Oryzias latipes: one gene and its partner. The protein of the gene in region 1 purifies or fractionates together with the protein of each later gene. This does not show direct contact. Links are inferred from orthologs where the notes say so. Each region holds a gene or a part of one and is shown in the gene's direction. Other genes may lie near its edges.

The links. The genes of interacting proteins can lie anywhere in the genome.
Region 2: the proteins of luzp1 (region 1) and dapk3 purify together in Homo sapiens (affinity purification with mass spectrometry; 3 studies listed by BioGRID and IntAct, with this or other methods). This does not show direct contact. The link is inferred for Oryzias latipes from reciprocal best matches to the Homo sapiens genes LUZP1 and DAPK3.

What each region holds. Positions count from the first base shown.
Region 1 is NC_019880.2:6,615,549-6,619,198, forward strand, and holds part of luzp1 (leucine zipper protein 1), read left to right. Parts: coding exon 1-1,355; intron 1,356-1,753; coding exon 1,754-2,325; intron 2,326-2,422; coding exon 2,423-2,602; intron 2,603-3,650.
Region 2 is NC_019875.2:30,205,192-30,208,941, reverse strand, and holds the start of dapk3 (death-associated protein kinase 3), read left to right. Parts: upstream 1-1,323; 5' UTR 1,324-1,430; intron 1,431-1,463; exon of another isoform or gene 1,464-1,892; intron 1,893-1,987; 5' UTR 1,988-2,013; coding exon 2,014-2,075; intron 2,076-2,575; coding exon 2,576-2,936; intron 2,937-3,159; coding exon 3,160-3,289; intron 3,290-3,361; coding exon 3,362-3,410; intron 3,411-3,495; coding exon 3,496-3,522; intron 3,523-3,605; coding exon 3,606-3,750. UniProt on the Homo sapiens protein: Serine/threonine kinase which is involved in the regulation of apoptosis, autophagy, transcription, translation and actin cytoskeleton reorganization. Involved in the regulation of smooth muscle contraction.

The sequences.
Region 1 (3,650 bases):
AGGGAAAGATGGAAAGGGAGGAAATGGAGTAAGTAGTTTGGATAAAAATAGCAGTGAAAAATCTAAAACTTGCCCCCACAGCCCTGCCAAGGTTCTGGAGAACGGCAAAGCTGAGAATGAGGAGATCATTGTAAAAGGAGGCTTCAGACATGAGAAGCCAAAGTTTAGAAGCGCAGCAGCTGGTTCAGAACCAAGTTCCCCCAGCCGCAAGAACAGGGAGCTCTCTCCTCAGCACAGAAGAGAAACCAAACTAAGAAGCAAAGAGCTCAGCTACTCTGACGGGGGTTCTCCAAAGTCTGCAAGGAGAGCTCTTAGTCCTGCACACAAGTTCCGAAGGACGCCTAAAACCCAAGCTGCTTTGATTTCCTCCAATAATGGACTGAGGGACACATCAAGGGTTCCCGAGGAAAAGACCAGAGGCACCACATACAACTCCGTAAATACAGCTTCTACTGAAATGAAGAAAGTGTCTGTTCTTAGCCGTTACCCCCCAGCAGCAAACGACCAGAAGCCACTGAGGACCGCCCTTAAACAGCCTGATGGGCAGATTAAAAAGAGCAAAGGAAAGTTTTCAAGCTTGAGTGTAGGTAGCGACAGCGAATCAAATAACTCTGATGTGCCGCCGGAAACATCCAGTATCATAAACAGTGATGCTGTGTTTGAGAAAGAATTGGCTTCTGCTTCTGATCACGAGTCTGTTGACCAGGTTCAAGAAACGGTCTCTGGATCTATTGGTTCAGCCAAAACAAATGGATCATACATAGCCTACAGATCTCACCTCACTCCACTGCTGCCCAACGACCAGGGCTCAGAGGGTCATTCTTCTGCTTCTGAAACTGAATCCACAAGTTCAAGGCCTTCAGAACCAGAACCAATCTCTGATGTTGCTCCAACTGTAGGCAGTAGGAATGCAGCCTCCAAATATACCAAATACCCCCATGTTCATGACTCGCATTCCGAGGGATCTTCCTCTCGGAGTTCGTTTGATGAGGAGATGCACAGGACTCAGTATGCTGATGGGGGGCATCAGGGACCCACGCATACCCCCTCTGTGATTGAGATCCAGAGGGTGTACAGCCCAAGAGAAGCTCTCAGGTCAAAGGCCGTCATCAAGCCCGCCATCACTGAGATTGACAGGAAGGAAATTATGATTTCTGAACCTTTATCTACAAACAGCAAACCCAGGATCTCCACCAAGCCAGTTGTGATGAGCACATCCAGTAAAATGACCAGCAGTATAACCTTCTACCCTAACGACCCAAGCTCCTCCAGAACCAGCAGTCGTAGCAGCAGTGTGTCCAGTGAACCGACGGCCCTCAAGGAGCGCCATACGTCTACCAGCAACATCCTCATAGGTGGGTTCAGAACAACATTCAAAGCTTAATTTTAGGAATTTAAGAGCTGATGGGTTTTTACAGCTAATAATTATTCTGGAGCTTTAATACTAACCCACCCCTTGACTTCATGCAGCAGTTAGACTCAGGACTGAGGTAAGAAATGGAGGAGCAGTCGTCCTTTCTTGTGGTTTTTCAATATGTTTTATAATAACATGTAGTGATATACCTTCAAATAACTGTTTAAAAAAATAAGCATAGGGAGTGCAAGTTTAGGTCACTGCGTGCCATAAATACAACTGACAATATCTTGTTAACACAACTGGATAAAGAAAGACTTGTGGTCAAGGATATTTAACTAGAAAATATTCATGTTGATTTGTGTTGTCCTTTTTTTAACATGTTTGATGTTTTGCCAGGTCCCAGCCTTGACCACCATGGCAGTATTTCCATCCCATATGAGATCTCCATACCCAAAAGTGAGATCACCATGCGGTCTTTCCAGGACCAGGACTGTGGGAGCTTCAACCACGGTGATAACTCATCAAGGTCCAAATTCTACAAAGCCTCCATGGTGGAGGCCTCTTCCTCCTCCTCTTCCAGCAGCCTGCGCGGCAGTCTTGGCGCTCAGCCCATAGACAACACGTCTGCAGACGTCAATGATTCAGAATCCGGTTTTGAGAGCAGCAGCAGCACGACTACAGTCACCAGCTGGAGAAGCCAAAGACAAAGCCAGTACTCTCCAGAAGACGGCATACCAGACACAAAGAATGTGACTGTGAGAAGCACCTGGAGAAACAAGGGTGCCACGCCAGGAAACGAGGCAAAAGCCAAAAGAGGAATGTTGGATGACTGGTCTGAAGATGAAGCAGAGGCTTCAACGACATGGAGGGCATACCGTGCAACGACATTTGATGTAGACGAATCCGTAAGCAGCGGAGCAGCAGCTGGTTTGACAGCACAGAAGGTAACCAAGCCATCACCTGCAGAGGTGAGGGGACGTGTGAGCTACTACATTCCTAAAAAACATTGACGCATAAGAGTGAATTTACCAAATATAACATTTTTTGTGTGGTTTCCTGCCCCAGGTGTACATGCGCAGAATCAACAGTGCTGCTACAAACACTAAGGAAGCAGAGGAACCGGCTCTTCGGCGAACCAGGAGCTCACAGTCTCCCACTCTGGAAACTGGAGGCTTGGGAAGGACGGTACCCCACGCACCTGTGACGTCTCAGTCCTGGAGTCGGTCATACTCCCAACAAACACCGGTAGGTGCTCTCCTTATTTACAAAGGACATTCTACAACAGAACTAACAGAAACTCTGTTAGTTAAACAGATACACCTAAAAGGATCAATTTGACCACAATTTAAACAAACTGTCTTATCCAAACTTGAAATTGAAACTGTTTATTTCTTTCCAAATCTATTTGACAAATATGTTTTGATGCTGAAATCCAAAGTGGCAATGCTGTAAAAAAAGCATGTTTTTCATTCAGGATGTCTTTTATATCGAGGATGTCTTATATCTTAAAAGCTCTTACTTTTCTTTCAGGGCTTAAGACTTTTCATTTCTAAAATTATCATTGACAAAGAACTTGGAGGTTCTGAGTTTTTTAAATCGTTATTTGAAACGTACAAAGCCGAGCTCCTGGTGCGTCTAACTTTGCACTGCAGCGTACTTTTTCCTGACGCCAGGCTCTGCGGCTTTAAGCTTAGGGCAGCAGTTCTGCAGACTGGACTCCTGCTGCCCCATTAAGCACAAAAAGAAAAGGGTGGGACACGTGAAAGGAGGGTGGAAATTAAAAAGAACCTCAACAGGGGAAAAGAAGGTCAAGAAAACACCAAGCAGAAAAGAATAGGATTCTTATATTTAAATGTGCCGTTCGCCACATTACAGTGTCCGGCAGCTGCTTGGATTTGCTCAGTTGCTCAATTTTCTGAAGCCAATGCAGATGTGGAAACAATTGATCTCAATGCCTACAAATTCACAGCAGCGTGAAAGTATTGGGGTTGCAGCCTAATGAGGAGGAGTGCAGCTTCTGCGACCACGACAAGAAAGAAGTTAACATAGGAATGGGTACTGTTTGGATTCTATACGGTGCCAAACCGACACTTTTGGAAACAGTTCTGGTGCCTAATTGGTTCTCAAACCGGTGCTTCAAACATGAAAAAATACACAATTTTTTCCCCCAAAAGCATTTACCTGTGATGATACAGCGTGATGTACGCGCAACTCTTATCCATCAGGTTGCTGAATTCAAATCTTTTGCTGTTAAGTACAACCGAACTTTCACCTCGCCTTGGCTTCAGCATTT
Region 2 (3,750 bases), on another chromosome or scaffold:
TATTCAGGACCTTAATGGCACTTTCATAACACAGTATCCTATATATGTGGTGGAACACATTTTTTAAATCCGAATTAATAATCGGTAGTATTTATCTCTCCACAGTGTAGCAACCAACCAATGTTAAAATGGTTAACGGTTACAATTTGAAGTAAGCTGATACTTGATATTTTATGAGTCATTCATAATACTGTTAAATTTTTATCCCGCGGCAGCAAGGCTCAGGTGAGGTCACCAGCACAAATCCGCAGACAGTAACGTGAGTCATGAGACGTTTCCTCAGTATGAGAATAGTGTTGTTTGGTGGAGAGTTGCCTTCTTCAGCCTCACCAGAGCGATCCCGCTTCTGATGTTGTACTTCTATGTTTTTAATGTTTAGTAACGGGATGCGCTGCCGTTGGTCTCCCTTTGTGGATTCCCTTGAAGTTTAGACGCATACTGCAGACCCCGCAGGTACAGTCTTGTGTACTGACGTACTGCTGCAGAGCCTCGATGACGTCATTCCATATGTTCTCCCTTCTGCCAGGTTTTTGCCTGTGTTAAGATCATCACCCGCACCGGAAAGCAAACCAGCGGGACTTCAAAATAAAGCTCTTTAGTAAATTAGTAATTTAGTAAAGAAATGAAAAGTAATGACTAAGTGGACGGAGAATATTTTTTTCTTCGGGAAAAAAAAAAAAAAAAAAAAAAAAATCAAAATAGTGTCGTTGGAAACAGATGAGTGACCAAATCAGAGAGGCTTGTCTCCATGAAGGTTAGATGGCAGATCTAGGTTTGTTTATTCATTTTTTTCATGAATTTATTAATGTATTCATTCATTTGTCCATTCACACATGGATATATTTATACATGTCTTTATTGATTCATATGTTCTGTTGTTTCTGCTGACTGGAGGCTCTGATTACCTCCATGTATGGTAATGAAAATGCTTTTCCCTTTACTATGCATGAGTCTTTCCCCTTACCGTCACAATGGACTGGAAACATCAGAACTGGGTCTGGGGAAAAGCAAAAAAGGAAAAAGACAAACCTGTAAAGTGAATTTTTTTTAATTCCATTTATTAATTTTTTAAAATGTGTTTTATTCTTTATCTAATGAACAATAGCACATGACAAAAACATGACTTAAAAGCTTAATAAGGGCCAATGGCTCTAAATACAGAACAAAAAATAAGAGTAAAACAATTTGTAATGCAATGCTTATTTTTTAAACATACATGGGGTATAATTTTATTTTAAATGACTTTAATTGAAGCTGTTTAAGAAATAAAACAAATTTAAAAGCATAACATGAACATTGATGTTTTATGTCAGTCGTTTGACAGACCTTTATTTTGAAGTGCCAGACCGGAAGCTTCCTGTTAGCTTTCCGTCTGTTCGTCGAGCTGAAGATTCAGTTTAATGAAAGCAGCGCTCCTCGGCAGTATTCCCGTGAGTATCTTATTATATTCCAGTAGAAATACTTCTGAATACTCGCGTTCTCACCGGAAACACATGCCTGGGAATCAATAACGCGCTTCTGTTGGCTTGAACAGTAGTTTTTAAACCGTTAAACCGGGTTTTTATGCTAGCTCTGGGAGGCTAGCAGTATTCAAGCATCTGTTTGCGATCATTCGTGAAAAAGTTCAGTAATGTAATTGTGTTCATATTTACTTAAATTGTAACAGAGGTGGGGCTTTCTACCGATCACCGGTAGAAAAACGGTGATCCCCGGTGTTGCCGCTTCTTTTTAACCGGAAACCCGCTCGTCGGTTGTGTGTGGATGTCCCTTTAACGGAGCCGCTCGCAGCTGGAGGAGATGATGTAAGGAGGGCCGGTATGTGGAGGGCTGACACCAGCCCCAAAGTCTAGAAACTCACGATGCCCAAATATGGCGTTCAGACCCAAACGGAGGTGACCGGCGGCGTTAGGGTGTTAGTTTCCTTCGCGGATGGACACACTTTGGCTGTCTGTCGGTGTCTGACATGACTCTCCCGTTTCCATGGCAGTAACGATCATCAGTGAAGTCAGCAGCATGGCTGGCTTCAGGCAGGAGGACGTGGAGCTGCATTATGAGATGGGAGAGGAGCTGGGCAGGTAAGAGCGTCTGTGAAACGTCACCTGTCATGCCAATGCCTTCTGGGAAATGCAGTCTCCGGAGTCAGTTTTTGGAGCACCATCCATCTGCGAAAGTAAAACGTTTTTATGCTCCTCTGTGCTGCTCAGCTTGGGAATGAGCGAAGTGAATGTTGTGCAGTAATGCAGCAGAAATGTGACGTGGCGCCTCACGGCCCCCTTCTACCTCTGCTGCGTCCAAAAGTCCGTCTCTGCTCAAAAAACTGCTGACTCCAGCATTCATTAGGGGAGCAGTCGCTCTGCAAGCTGCTGCTTTTGGTTTTTGTCCTTTTTTGGTCACATTTTCCTCTTGATGCATCAGATCATCTGTTTTTGTTCATTACCTTTAATAAACTCCCCTAAAGGCTTGAATTTGTCATTTTATTACCAAGAAGCCGATTTCTGTCAGATGTTCTCTTTGTTCAAGTTTGGCGTTTGTCAAACGTGCGGTTGGAGGTTTTGACGCCTCTGCTTCTCCACAGCGGCCAGTTCGCCATCGTCCGTAAGTGCAGGGAGAAGAGCACGGGCGGCGAGTACGCGGCCAAGTTCATCAAGAAGCGGCGTCTGTCCTCCAGCCGGCGGGGGGTGAGCCGCGAGGAGATCGAGCGCGAGGTCAACATCCTGCGGGAGATCCAGCACAGCAACATCATCACCCTGCACGACATCTTCGAGAACAAGACCGACGTGATCCTGATCCTGGAGCTGGTGTCCGGAGGAGAGCTCTTCGACTTCCTCGCAGAGAAGGAGTCTTTGACCGAGGAGGAGGCCACGCAGTTCCTGAAGCAGATCCTGGACGGCGTCCAGTACCTGCACTCCAAACGCATCGCTCACTTCGACCTCAAGGTCAGCAGCATGGCGGGAAAAGGACGTTGTTGCTGCTTCTCATGAGGGATTTACAAGTCGGAGTCGCCACCAGAAAAAAAAAAACCCTCAATCTGACCCCCTTAAGGAGGCAGCGAGTCATTCCGCCTTAAGAACACCACAAACACATAAAAAGACGTTTTGTGACCTTGAAGGTCGTTGGGTGAGGCTTCAGTCCAGAAATGTTCTGCATCTTATCTTTCAGCCGGAGAACATCATGCTGCTGGACAAGAACGTTCCCAACCCCAGGATCAAGCTGATCGACTTTGGGATCGCTCACCAGATTAAAGCAGGAAACGAGTTCAAGAACATCTTCGGGACTCCAGAGTTTGTGGGTGAGTTTCTCCGGCGGTTCTGCTGGAGTCGATCCTCAGATCTGATGCTAATGACGGCGTTCTGGTCTGCAGCTCCTGAAATCGTCAACTACGAGCCGCTCGGCCTGGAGGCGGACATGTGGTGAGCCTCCCCCCCCTCCCCCCTCAGCATCTCACCTGAAGCTGCACACCTGTCCAGCCCACACTCATGTCTGTTGTCTTTGCAGGAGCATCGGCGTGATCACGTACATCCTGTGAGTCAGCCGTCCCGTCTCAGCGTTGGGTGGGGTGGGGTGGGGTCGTCCTGGGTCGGGTCTGACGTGGTTTTGTGCGTTAGGTTGAGCGGAGCGTCTCCGTTTCTGGGCGAGACCAAGCAGGAGACTTTGACCAACATCTCTGCCGTCAACTACGACTTTGACGAGGAGTATTTCAGCAACACCAGCGAGCTCGCCAAGGACTTCATTCGCCGCCTCCTGGTCAAG